Linked DNA regions of Caenorhabditis elegans. The protein of the gene in region 1 purifies or fractionates together with the protein of each later gene. This does not show direct contact. Each region holds a gene or a part of one and is shown in the gene's direction. Other genes may lie near its edges.

Region 1 (6,645 bases):
GTTACGTGGCATAATGTACAACTCGAACTTCTCTTTGCAAATTGGAGCACGCTTATCATCCAAAAAATGTTCAGGATCAATGCAAAGTTTGATTCTAAAAGTTAAAAATTCCAAGTTAATTTCAAAGCATCATATCATACCCTTGTGTTTTCCCTTTCAAGTAGAGAAGAGTCTTCCAACTTCCCGCCTTCATCGTCAACTTGACAATATAATACCTTAAGAATCAATCTATGCGCCTTCTTGATTATTAAATGCACAATTATTAACTGCCATACAACAGCTTTCACTTTCTCACAAAATCCACATGAAAACAAACACCAGCCACAGCCAAAACGCAAAACAATTATCGATCAGCTGGCACTTTTTTATTTTCATTTATCTCAGCTTGACGTTCTCGGTTTTCTCTACGTTTTCCACCGAACTGCAGATTTGAGTGACTGGAGGATTGCTGCGGCTCTTTCATTTTACCATGTTTATCCGTGGAGCGCATTTGAAGCCCAAAAACTTTCAAGCTCCTGTCCAACTTATACTCACCTATCATTTTGATCTCCGTGCAACTTGTTCACAGCTTGTACTCTTTTGGTCGAGAATCACAAGTTTGACTGATTGACGAATGATGTTCAATTCGCAAAAAGAAGAACTGATTCGTTTTAATTCTGAATTGGCAGATTAACTGATTGATAACAATCTTCTACGTGGCAAGATGGTTTAGTAATCCAATGAGGCTTCACGGATTAATTGAAAAAAAAAATACATGAAGAAATTAATTAAAGAAGTGAAAGGCTATATTTTAACTTCACAAAGTGACCACGTTTCTTCAATTTTTTAAATACAAAAATTTTTTTAAACAGGGATTTGTTTGATTTGTTTGACAATGAGAATGTTCCGCCTCACTCACTAGTCAGCTACTCTTTTTTACCATAGCTATTAGGTCTCCAAATAAGTTCCGGGTCAAAAATCATAACTTTGTTCGCTGCGTATCAATTTTTATGAAACTTTGGGAATTTATATTATCAACCATGGTCTTTCATTTGACAATAGTCACAAAATTTTTTGACCACCCCAAGTGGCCTAACTCGGAGCCAATTTTTTCAGGCATTTTTCTGATCTCGCTTTTTTTCAGTTTTCAATTGAGCTTTGTGTGCGATTTTGCTTTGTTTAGAATACATTATTAGAAAACAACAAAAGTTTGGAAAAAAATCCGCCCAAAAAAATTTTTTTTGGTTGGTCGTCAAAAAATGTTCAAAAAAATTTTTGTCGAAAATTCTAGATTTTTCCTACAAAAAAGATGTAACCAAGTGTAAACTATTTTTACACATATAAATCATTTGAGTTAAAAATTTGAATCTCAAGAAATATTCAAAAAACTAAAAAATTATCCGAAAAAATTGTATTTTCTACTATCATTTTAGTGTATCGAACTAAATTGATATGTTTTGTATGTCTAAAAATAGTTTACACTTGGTTACATCATTTTTGTAGGAAAAATCTAGAATTTTCGACAAAAATGTTTTTGAACATTTTTTGACGACCAACCAAAAAAAATTTTTTTTTCTAAACTTTTGTTGTTTTCTAATAATGTATTCTAAACAAAGCAAAATCCGCACACAAAGCTCAATTGAAAACTGAAAAGAAGCGAGATCAGAAAAATGCCTGAAAAAATTGGCTCCGAGTTAGGCCACTTGGGGTGGTCAAAAAATTTTGTGACTATTGTCAAATGAAAGAGCATGGTTGATAATATAAATTCCCAAAGTTTCATAAAAATTGATACGCAGCGAACAAAGTTATGATTTTTGACCCGGAACTTATTTGGAGACCTAATATTTTTTTTTCTCGAAAATTCGTTATTTTTGAAAATAAAAATTTGAAAAAATAAAGATTTGAATGATATCCCAAAATATGTCTTACAGGCTTACATTAAATATGATTTTTCCGTTATATTTTCTTCTAATAAGCCTTACAACTTTTATTTTTCTGACTGTCCCGTTGCAATAAAGCCAAGGGTATGAAAACATTCCCACTGATTTCCCCGAGGTTCGTTTTTTTCTTTTTTTTTCTACCATTACAGCTTATCTAAGAAATAAACCTAAGAAAATAAAAAGAAATAGTATTCGTATCTTAAAATAAGCAAATTAATCTTAAATTTCTCTCAATTTTCCGTCTGCTTCGTTCCGAGACTCGCTCTTTAAAAGTCGGCAATGTCACACAAAATAAATTGAGACTGATGTATCGGATGAAAACGAGTTTTCAGAAAATCGCGGAGGAAGGGAAAATGACTCAGGAAAAGCGCTGAAAGATTTTGGCAGGTAGTTAAAAGAACGAAAAACCTTGATGCGGTCAATGTTTTAAGTGGCATGTTCTTTTATGCCATTCGATGCTTGGTTGTTTGGTCTTAGTTAAACAGTTTATCCTGGACGAGTTATATGTTTCAGCTCTTTTCACATTTTTGTTGCAATTAACCAAACCTATTAAATACTTATGCCATCCTTTCATATAATTTTAAAATAAATTTTTCTGTCACTTTGCCGCTCCTTTACTACCAACATTAGTACAACCCTTTTTACACTAAACAATTCTTTCGGTTATGGTTTATCAAACTAAATACAAAGTATTCTGATCTGTTAGACAACCGGATAATCCAATAGTTCCCTTTTTGCTCAGAATATAATGTTTAAATATTTATGTATTTACTTTATTTGATTTTTTCGTTAGGGCTTCAACTGTGAATGAGAAAAATTACCTCATGCAGATTCTATTTACTCAAGAGCTTTTTTCTCGGTCAAATACATAAAACTCACCCGTTAATGGTGTTTTCCGATACCTATCAGATGACCTATGCCGAAGATCGGAAGCCTTTATTGCGTCTGGATAGTGGTGAAGGTGGCGACATTGATGACTTGGAACATTTCACGGAAATGTTGAATCCCTATTGCACAACTTCAAATAAATTTTATTACGGAAAAAAGGGTTTGTTAAATTTTATTTTGTTTGCTTATTTTTACTGTTTCTAACAATGATTTTACATTTAGCTGGTTTTTGAAATTAATAATCACACTATAAAGTTTCATATTTGAGATGTTTCTGGTGGTGTTTTTCGAAAGTCTTTTTCAGCTATAGCATTTAAAATGGGAAGTTACTTCTAAATGTTTTATTTATTTTCAGAAAGGTATATTCCGAAAGCGGTTTTGGTAGTAATGGGCATATTTTCAATATGTTTCAGTATTGATAAATATCAAATATTAATGAAAGAAATTGAATCGAAAGAATGTAATGATGTACTGGCAGAATGCAACAATATACCTTTTAATCAAACATTTGTTCCACCATTTTATGATTATCTTCAAGATTTTACAGTAAGCTCCGCTAGGCCACAGTTAAATCTAAGCCCTTTCAGATTTCTCCTCGTTATGATATATCTCTTTGTCTTATTCCAAAAGTTGTGTCTACAATCGGAACTGCCGCAATATGTTACATACAAGATCCGGAGGCTTTCACCAAAAACAACAGAACAATATCAACGGAAATGTATGGTGGAAGGTAAGTTTGAGCGGTGTTGGTTCTCAGCAGTTACAGCTGGTTCCCAACTAAAACTGAATGAATTGAATGAAAATTTAATCAATTGCAGATTTTGCGAAAACAATGAATTGAAATCTTTTAAAATGGTGCAACGCAGTTTGAATTCTAACTTTGATAATATAATTTTCACACGAAATCCCTATGATCGGTTCATTTCAGGATTTACCGAGAAGTGTGTAAAGTAAGTTTAGATTTAGAGGATAATATCAGGATCTGCAAAATATAAATTTTAGTAACACGGACACAAATATTTGTCACGGATGTGGAACCGACATCCGATGTTTCTTGCAGAAAGAATATCGACGTTTAATTAGAATGAGTATGCTATTTCCTGTTTACACTGGAGCAGACACACATTTTGCTCCTCAAACTTGGTGAGTTCTCAACTTCATTAAATTCTTCATGCCAGGATTTTAAGCTGTCTTTTGAATTCATAAGAGGCTACAAGAAGACAAAAGACATAATGTCTCGCTAAGATCAAGATAACAGTTTTTGTCTAGCCTATTGCCTAATTCATGTTTCCATTTCTCCTAGTCATGAGAATCTTCAAAAATTTAAACCAAAAGATCGTTCAACGGTTTCTCAGGTACTGCGATATGAAAAACAACATCAAGAACTCAACAGTAATACAATATTCGAGTACGGGGACAGAAAAAATAAAGATGATTGATAATTTATTGACCGTTTTCAAAAATAGAAATGTACCAGAAGAAAATCTGAACGAAGTCAGAGAAGAACTTTCAAGTAAGCTTTTTTTAATTGCATTCTTGATTTCATTCAATTTCAACACTTTCAGAAGGAAAAACCCAGCACTCAACATCTGGAACATCTCTACGACTTAAATATGAAAAGCTTATTGAAGAAGATGGAGCTATCAGGAGAGCTTTACAGAGAATTTATTACTATGATTTTTTATATCTTGGGTATTCAATGTAGACGGGTTAAACAAGTAACTATGATTGACAGAAATCGGACAATTTTCCCCGGTGTTGCATTTCAATTGTATTTCCGTATTCTGATTGTTTCAACATAAACTTTATGTTTCTAAATACTCGGCATTTTGCCATAGAGTTCCCTCGCACTTCTACAGAAAAATCTGAACTCTTTGTGAACTCTGACGACGTGCGAGAGGAGACTGTAGAAGTGAACTCTGTGGCAAAATGCCGAGTTGTTTGAATTGAACAGTTCAAATTGGAATATGTTTAAAGTAAATTTTCCACAAACAAAAAATTGTTGAAATTGTTTATTATTGAAATCTATAAAACAATTCAATTGACAAAGATAGTCCTACGATGTGTATGATTGTGAAGAAGAGGTAGTTCAATAGTCGAACTTGTCGCACTTCTGGTCGACGGCGACGCGAACGGTGCGCTCCTCCATTTGTGGTTGGTCACGAAGGTTGCGGAGCTTGTGCTCTGGCCATTGGGCGAGTGGCTCACGGCGGATCTCGCGCATTTGACGGCGAGCCCATGAGTTGGAGGATGGGAGGCAGTAGACGGAGGTCTGAAATGTTACAGAATAATTGATTGAAATGTATAACTACTACCACCTTTTGCTTCTTGGACTCCTGTGACTTTCCGTTTTGGCAGCGAAGAACTGGCTTCTGGGTGAAGCAGATCTCGTGTTGACGCTCGACAATAGCGACTTGCTCAGTTGGCTCATCGTCTTGCTCGCGGCGAGATTCCTCGTAGTTCATCTCTTGGTCCTTCTCCTCCTCTTGATTTTTCTCAATGCGTTGGAAGTTCTCCTCCTTCTCGAACATCTCACGCTCGTAGTTGCACTTGGAGTCCTTGTACAAGTAGCTCTTGGCGAACTTCTGAAAATTGAGATGATTATTGTTGTGTATCAAAATTAAGAAACTTACTGGAATGGTGTTCTCTTGGTTCTCAGCATCATAGAATTCGGTTTCCTTCTCGTTGTCGTAGTGGCCGCAAAGTCCGCATTGTTGGTTTCTGTAGAGAGCGGAAAGGTGAATACGGGCATTGACTCCATCGAATTGAACAGTGACATCATCAGAATCGAACTTGAGTGTGTTCTTGTTAAGCCAGATGATGTTGTATTGCTTCTTCTCAATCTCAGATTCTGGTTGGTACTCGATTTCTTCTCCGTTGACACGGCAGATGAGTCCTTCCTCAGTCTTGTACATTTCAATCTCGTTTTCTCCGTAGACAACCTTGACGTTCTTCCACTCCTTCTTCTCGTTGATCTTCTTCATAAGGACAACGAAACGGGGCTCGCTCTTCTCAGATCCACAATCCTTGGCGAGAACGGAGTAGCATGGGGTGAATTGGTTACGGTAGGCAACTTGGTCGAAGGTGTTGATCTTGGTGCTCTTGACAACACAGTTGGCTTGCTTGGAAGCGTGATGGGCGATCTTCTCCATGACTGGCTTCTGCTCGTAGCGGGAGTTTCTTGGCTGGTAGTGGATTTGGGCAGTTGGAAGTCTGAATGGAAGCTCGACACGCTCAAGAACGGTGGTCTCCATTGGGGTCTCGATAGTCATGTTGACAGTTAGACGTTGGCGTGGTTCAACATTGATTGTGGCACGGATCATGTTCTTGCGGCTTGGCTCCTCACGGGTCTCGATTCTGGAAGTCCATGGGTATTGGGTGCGAAGATAAGCTTGAACCATGTTCCAGTATCTGGCGAAGTATTGAGCTGGCTTTGGCTCGAACTCGTACTCAACAACAGTTTGGTATTGGTCAAGTCTAGATGCCTCGAGAAGGGTCTCGTGCTCTGGGGCTTGCTCAATTTGCTTGACGAACTTCTTTTGTTCTTGGGATTGTTGTCCGTTGATGTTGATGTGAATGGTGTTCTCTCCGTAGTTCATCTCTCCCATAACAACGAGTTGACGGTACTTTTGCTCCTTGAGCTCCTCAACAGTCCTTGGGGTTTGTGGGTAGACGTATTGGATTGTAGCCTTAAGCTCTTCTCCGCGGATTTGGGTCTTGCAGAAGTGGAAGTCATTGTTGCAGACAGCCTCAACCTCCATCTTGACAACCTCTGGCTTGATTTCGAACTTGGCGACGTGTTGGTAGACCTTCTCGTTTTGGAGCCATTCGAACTTCT
Region 2 (7,488 bases), on another chromosome or scaffold:
ATAGATGAAAATTCCGCAGTAACAAAAGTTGGGACCTACAGTACACCGAATAAATATTTCAATAAATATTTATCTACAATTAGAATTTGAGCACTTTTGTGAAGAAGGACGATTGTTTGCTGGAATATATTAAAAAATAATAATATGTCTAATTGAATTGATATTTCTGTATTAAAGATGGATCATCTAAATTTGATTTTGGAAAAAGTCAAACAAATAACTATTGGGAACAAATATTCTTCCCAAGAACTCAAAACGTATCGTATAAAAACGAATAACTCCATCAATAATAAAAACGGCTCGAATGCATTTTTCCTCATTGGTCAACTCAATACAATCTTCATTTTCGGTTTGTTCTCACTTCAAAAAAAAACATCAACTTTTGTTCTCAGTAGAATCCTGAACAATAGAAGAGGTTTTTTCCATTTGGAACTTTTTTCCGAAGGAATCGAATATGCTTCGATTTTATCTGAAAATTTATCCAAAGAATATACGCCAAGAGATGGAAAATGTATTTTTAGTATGGAACATTCCAAAAAAAAACTATACAAATCAAATCAATTTTCCAACAATTGGAAATTTACCATTCCATATTTGACTGAAAATTTCGAAAAAAAAACCAAAATTGTTTGATTTTCACCAGCCTGAAAACTCGAACTGACGTTTTTATATTCGCACTATTTTCAGAGCCTGTAATTTCTTCAAAGGCGGATTTCACAGAGTTTTTGTAGTTTTAAGCTTGTCAAGTACTGAGCACTCTGCAGATCGTTTGGAAATTGAGAAAGTTTGAAAAAATTGAATTTTGTTGATCTCGATCTTTATCGGTTTTCCATTGTGGTATTTCCAAATTCCAGTCTTTGTTGTGTTTCAAAACATCATCCGCATCAACGCTTCTCCATCATTAAACCTAATTTTTTGAAATTACTTGAAGCACTCAAAACTCTCTAAAAATATCTCAATAGAAGAATAAAGCATAAATAAGTGTTGTTTCATTCAATTCTATCTCCTCCTTCTTTACTACAAGAAGAGGACAGATCTATTGTGTATTACTCTCTATCGGTATGTCTGCGTCTCTGTAAACCCTAGTACTATCTAACTGGCTACCTGTCTGACCGCCTGTCAAATGGATTGGATTCAATGTGTAGAGGAAGAGGATTCGGTTAATGTTTTACTCAAACTATCATGTTGTGTTCCCATATTTTTTTGAAATTTTAGTTTTCACTTCCAAAATATTTTAAATGCTCGTTGTATTTGCTTGTACTGTTTGCTGATTTGTTGAGTCATTTTTCTGGCTTTTCCCTGAACTCTTGGATATTTTTGAAACAAATCATAAATATATAAATCTTGAAACATTTCTCGAAATTTTTTAAAGAAATAACTTAACTTGTTTTAAATACATTTTTTTAAACTGTTAAACTGTTCCGGATTTGTTCGAAGTGTAAAAATCTACAATTTTTAATTTTGCAAAACCCTGCAAGTTTCCCCTTTCTAATTATATTTGTTCATACTATTTGCTAATTCCCTAATAGATTCCCTCTAAAATTTCAAATTGTCCGTGACTTCATTCTCTCTAAACAAAAATCTCTGAAAAAAGAAAAAGCGTCGGGTTCGAACAATTGAATTTCCTTTTTTTTCGTTGGGAAAGAGGTATCTCAAGCTGTGTTTATTTTCATGTAAATTGAGTATTTTTCTTTTGAAAAATGGGCAAAAAAATCGAAGTCTCTTGGTGAAACGCCTCGATGGAAAATCGTATAGCTTTTATGGTTTTTTTCTCAATAAACATAGTCTGTCTGTCTTCATAATCTCCTTTTTTCATGTTTAAAAACTAATTCCCACTATTTGAAATTGCTTTACCAAAAGTGCAAAGCCTTCAAAGTCAACTTAAATTATTTTCAGCTAGCAAATTGAAAAGTTCAACGTTTTATTTAATATTCTAGTAGATTATACATAGTTCAATTATGTTCTACCTACTTTTTATTTTTCTCTTGACATGCCTGCCTACTCACCAATCACCCATTTTTGCATTTTTTACTTTGGTGTTTGGTGTTTGCCTTTTCAATTCATTTGATAGTTCTTTTTTAAGTTTGAAAAAAAAACTTTTTGGCAGTAGGCATAGGTATAAATACCTCAAAAATCAGGTAAGAATTTTTTACCTACAGAATACCTGCCTACAAGACACGCTTCCCTTACCTACTTTATCGCAATTTTAATATCAAATTTTAGGTAAATGAAAAATTTAATATTTTCCCACCCCTATCCTTTTTGCTAGTTTCTATGTTTTCCTTCTATTTCTCATATATTTTCTCAACTCTAATCTCTATTCTAGAGAAATAACATATTTTCAGTCCTCACTAATTTTTTTTCACACTTTTTCTCCCTCTCTTTCTCTCTCTAAAACCTCTCCTTGACATTTTTCTGTGCTGTTAACTAATCAGAACGGATTTAGTATTTTTTTTTTTCGTTAATTGTTTTCTCAATTCTTACGCTGTTGTAATTCCAGACAAAAAATGGCAAAGAAACCCAAGAATTCGCCTGAAAAATCAAAATATTCTTCTGATACTTCTTCCTCATTATATTCGCAAACTTGGCTTGCTTCCGTTGTAATTATAGGTGAGTGAACAATGTTTTATTCAAACTAAAAACATGAAACAGGAAATTAAATTCAAAATACACGTAACAATAGAATGAGAGGAAGAGGGAACAAATATGCATTCAAAGTGGCAAGAGTTTGAGATTTTAAAGCTGGAGCAGCGTCAGTGGGGGATTTTTTTTTAATATTCATAAAAGTTTACGTGGCAAAATATCATAATAAACTTTTTGAAATGTTTAGATTCGGTAAATTGGCATGTCTTTGGAATATTTAGGTTTTCCAACCAAATAATGTACTGTTATGAAACACTTTTTAAAAAACCAATTTCCAAATACCAAAAGTATTGTTCACAAAAGCTGAGAATTCCCAGCTTCCGACAACGAATTTCGAAAAAAATTGGAAAAAAATGTTTCTACGCACCATATGAATAGTCAAAAAAAATATTCCGATGCCACTCCAACTTTAAATGAGACTGAAAACAAATGGAGGAAGAAGTCAAAAAGAGGGTTTTTCTAGAAATCATGATACTGGCCTCGTAGTGGGTCAAAGCAACGAGCAAATGTGTCATTCATTATGTCGAAGAAATGACGAATGTCCTGAAAGTTTAATATAGAAAGCTACAATTAAAAACAATTTAGAACTTTGCACCCATTAGCAGAATATCGAAAAATGCGTAAGAAAATTGACAAGAACTATCTAAAACATTGGTTACCTCTTGCTCTTCATGACTTCTTGACTCTATAACTGCTTTGTAATAATGTTTGAGTGAGCTCAGAACTCCGTTATCTCGAAGGCGTTGAAGAGCTCTAAAAATCTAACGTTTATCTATTCAATATAAATATCTTACTCCTCCTCAATGTCACTTCGCTCATCTAAAATAGCTTGTAGCGCTTTTGGTGGGCGATTTCTGTGCAACCATTCGTCGAGTTCACTGCTTTTCCGATTTTCGCCAAGCTGAAAATTAATTCGTTTTGGGGCTTTTGACATTTTTTAAATATCTAAATTGACTCACTCTTTCCCTAATAATTCCATCAACACTGTCAAACTTGTTCTCATAAGCAGCTAAATCCAAATCAATCCTTTGTTCAAAATTAAGCAATTCCAATGCGTGTCGAACACATTTTGGCTCCATTGCATAACATTCGTTTAATTTTTTCTTTCCATACATCCAAACACTCAGATTTTCCCATAATCTTGCCCAAATTGACATTTTCTCAGTTTCAGAAGATTTTCTGGAAAATAAACATAGTTTTTGATAGACGCTTGATGTTTGAAACCTTTGTGCAAAATACTGCTGAATGGCCATTTGATCAATTAGCGGCAGAAATGGACGTAATTGTTTCAACCAAACTGAACGGATTGCGTTGTATACGGAGGCATTCTAGAAATTTAGTTATAGAAGGAAAATTTGGTATTGTCATATTAAGGTTTTTTTTGAAAATAAAACATTTTAAAGATTAAAGAGAGATGATTTTCCATTGAAATGTCAAACTTACGTGATAACCATTCACCACATCTACAGTAATCTCATCAAAATGTTCCAAATTATCGATTGATTGTACCAAGGATTCATTGATTCTTCCTAAGACATTTTTCTCATTTCGATTCATTTTAACTTTTGAATCGATTACATATTTCAGTTTTTCATAAGTTTTATCTTTTACATAGGCTTTCAAAGTTTCTCTATCCTCTGTTGGTAGATCGAGTACAAATATGAAAAGTGGTAAATATGTCTCCAATAAATTGAATTTTGGTTTGTCACTTTCTTTTTCTTCGGAAGAAGGGTCATACATTGTTTGGTTATTGTTTAATAGTGTCGAATTGTCTTCTGCCTGAAAATTAAAACATAGAATACGGGAAAAGAAAACGAAGATGTGCCGAAAGTAGGCATGCATGCATTTCTGACATGGTAACATTGGCAAAAACCAACCAGAATAACTAGAACATCATCTTTTTCGGGAGGTTCCTTTCCACTTTGTTCCTCATCACTTTGTGCCAAACTCATCATAAATAAGAATAGGAGTAATAAAATTGCAGGCGTTTTCATTTTCCCTTAAAAAAAACTTTAAAAATATGAAAAATAAATAGGAAATCAGTGACATAATAGAAAAACAAGAAAATTCGGATGATGTTTGAAACTTTTGGAGAATCACACGAAAACTGGAAATTGAGAATTGAAGAAAGGACATGCGATGGCAAAAATAATTCAACCGAAATCCAATTATCATCTATTCAAACAAATTTCTGAGCGAAACATCACAAGACTTTTTTGTTCTGGAAGCTTGAAGGGAAAAAAGTGAACGCACGTGACATTAAATGCATCTGGAAATTGGAAGCAAGAGTTTATGCGGAGAGCAGATGAAAAAAAATTGACTTTTGTGAATAGAGCATGTGACTGGGTTTTGAGTAGAATGCGCTTTTAGGATGAATAAAAAGAAATGCAGAGTTTTTATAATTATATTTTGAGAATCTATTGGCTACATACCTGCGCACCTACGTGCCTGCCTACCACCTACTTTTTTAAGTTTAAGAACTTTTGTTAAACTTTTCTTGCAGGTGCACTTGCAAGGATATTGAAAAAAAAACTAGTGTAGGAAAAAGGCAGGCGTTGGACACTATGAAAGAAAACAGTGTTAAAATGTTGTATCTTCATAAGAAATTTTCGAGGAGTCACATTATGAAATTCGGTCTATTGGGATCATTTTGAAGATATTGAAGCAGAAGTCCAAAATTGCTACGCCCCATTTAAGAAATTAAATGATAGGTGCGCAATATAGGCACAAAGCAGATATTTATTTTTACTTGGAAGACTTCAAAAACGATTTTTTAATTGTTTTGAATATACGCTTTAAGATGAAACGGCCCTACCAAAACGAATAAATCAAAGGAACAAAAATAAATGAGATAATTAGTGATATTGACTTGAAATGATTCCTAGACTGAACGCTTCTATCATCTAAATCATTATGCCCACACTTCTTATTCTATTATCTATTTTCCCACATCATTACATTCATTCATCTCATCATTATCGGTCATTATCTAATTTCTCTGCGCCTCTTTATTAGAAATTATCACTGTCATACAGGCTTAGACAATATTAAAAGACACTATGTTTGAAGTGATATCCATTTTAATCAGAAAGTTTCCATTCAGTTTCGGGATGTGATTTCTCATACAAAATTGAAAAACCCAATTATTAGGTATACCTATAGGTTGCAAAGTTTTAGTAAAAATGTGAACAGTTAAGCTATTACAAACAGTAAGTAAAGTTCAAGTTGCTATTGCTCAATGAGCCTCTAATACAAACAAAAATGAAAGTGAGAACTGAGAGCAATATGTTTGAAAACTGGTTCTGCTCTTGCTCACACTTTGTGTATTGAACATTTTGACAGAAAATTTGTAGCCACCTGTATTACCAAAACTATTTGCTCACTTTGAATGCTTTTTTTTGGAAAAAATTCAAGTTTAGTGAGGTTATTTTTGAATATACTGTTATAGAATTGATCGTTTCAACATAAAATTTTAGAACTATTAGATTCGGCGAAATTATTAAAAAAGAGCATTTTTTCCAGACACTTTGAAGAAAGAATCGAAATTGAAATGATTATATCTGAAAAACGGAAACTTGCCAGAATTAATAATAACGCCTAATTGCTTGACCTGAAGCTTAATTAAAGTTTTTTTTAAATTTGAAATTCGCTCTTATAAAGAATGAACAATTTTTTAAAAAGTTTAAGATGTTTGACTGATTGTCGGATTCGTGTTTTGTTAGTTGAGCGTGCTTGCCAGATTAAAAAATAAGAAAATTATCTAAATCATATCATTTACTCTGTTACTTATGTTTCAAAACTTTAAATCTTGAAACATTGAACCTTAATCCTTAGATGCTCTCAATCTCTAAAAACTAGGGAACGAAACGTCAACAGAAACATCAACATATTCAACGAAACTTCCTGTGTTTGTGTCTCGTCACTGACGACGACACGGTTTGTTCAAAGTGTCTAAAGTCTCTCCGATTCATAAACTATTTCCACAAATGAACTGACATTTCGTCCCCAAAGTCGATAATTACAGAGAGAGGGGGAGGTAGAGAGGGACAGAGAGAGAGACCTCTCTCTCAAAACTGGATGTGTTTTGAATTGCAAAAAAAGGGAAATGGGAACAAAAGAGTAAAACTAGGAGAACCAATGAGGATTATTAAGAGCAATTGGGTGGGGAAACAAATTAAATACTTTTTTAAGAAAACTATGTTTTAATAGTAGTTATTTGAAATGGGGTGTCCATGTAGGGTTCAAAATGTCTGCCTGCTTACAACACCTACCTACTGACCTACCTGCAGATTTTTTGCTCTTCATTAAACTAGAGCCGTATCAATCTCTAAAGTGGTCCTGTTCCACCCGGATATGGCATGTGACCTGACAGAAAAATTCAGAAAATAATTAGTTGGCAGACAATCATGCAAGTTACAGAAATAGTCTTCTCGGATCTTTATCAAACTTGCGACAAATTATTTTACGCTCAAACGAATTTCAATACAGTTTTTTTTATTTTCAGGACTCCTCGTTGGATACATCAACTACCAACATGTCTACACATTATTCGAAAACGACAAACATTTCTCCCATTTGGCGGACTTTGAACGCGAGATGGCATATCGAACGGAAATGGTACAGTTTTCTTTAAAAATACAAATTCAAAATTTCTTGTTTTTTCAGGGTCTCTACTATTCATACTATAAAACAATAATCAATGCACCATCATTTCTTGAGGGTGTTCAGGAGATAACACATGATACTGTGACAGAACATGGACACGAGATTAACACACTAAATCGATTTAATTTATATCCAGAGGTGAGTCGCAAAGTTTTCACATTGTAATGTTTTCCGTCGGAA

What was found.
Region 2: the proteins of K07H8.8 (region 1) and dpy-19 fractionate together in Caenorhabditis elegans (co-fractionation; one large-scale study listed by BioGRID). This does not show direct contact.

What each region holds. Positions count from the first base shown.
Region 1 is NC_003282.8:8,264,619-8,271,263, reverse strand, and holds K07H8.8 (sulfotransferase family protein), read left to right. Parts: upstream 1-2,851; 5' UTR 2,852-2,915; coding exon 2,916-2,967; intron 2,968-3,162; coding exon 3,163-3,353; intron 3,354-3,394; coding exon 3,395-3,537; intron 3,538-3,625; coding exon 3,626-3,757; intron 3,758-3,809; coding exon 3,810-3,950; intron 3,951-4,162; coding exon 4,163-4,320; intron 4,321-4,372; coding exon 4,373-4,512; 3' UTR 4,513-4,620; downstream 4,621-6,645. Other genes in the region: K07H8.5 (uncharacterized protein), read right to left, coding at 1-94, 141-193; vit-6 (Vitellogenin-6), read right to left, coding at 4,897-5,079, 5,123-5,392, 5,441-6,645.
Region 2 is NC_003281.10:8,662,495-8,669,982, reverse strand, and holds the start of dpy-19 (C-mannosyltransferase dpy-19), read left to right. Parts: upstream 1-2,500; 5' UTR 2,501-2,507; coding exon 2,508-2,610; intron 2,611-2,617; exon of another isoform or gene 2,618-3,102; coding exon of another isoform or gene 3,103-3,186; intron 3,187-3,302; coding exon of another isoform or gene 3,303-3,396; intron 3,397-3,437; coding exon of another isoform or gene 3,438-3,544; intron 3,545-3,602; coding exon of another isoform or gene 3,603-3,822; intron 3,823-3,867; coding exon of another isoform or gene 3,868-3,971; intron 3,972-4,086; coding exon of another isoform or gene 4,087-4,422; intron 4,423-4,520; coding exon of another isoform or gene 4,521-4,637; exon of another isoform or gene 4,638-4,645; intron 4,646-7,147; coding exon 7,148-7,260; intron 7,261-7,308; coding exon 7,309-7,446; intron 7,447-7,488. Other genes in the region: F22B7.1 (uncharacterized protein), read right to left, coding at 3,103-3,186, 3,303-3,396, 3,438-3,544, 3,603-3,822, 3,868-3,971, 4,087-4,422, 4,521-4,637. UniProt on the Caenorhabditis elegans protein: C-mannosyltransferase that mediates C-mannosylation of tryptophan residues on target proteins such as unc-5 and mig-21. Mediates the attachment of alpha-mannose in C-C linkage to the C2 of the indole ring of tryptophan.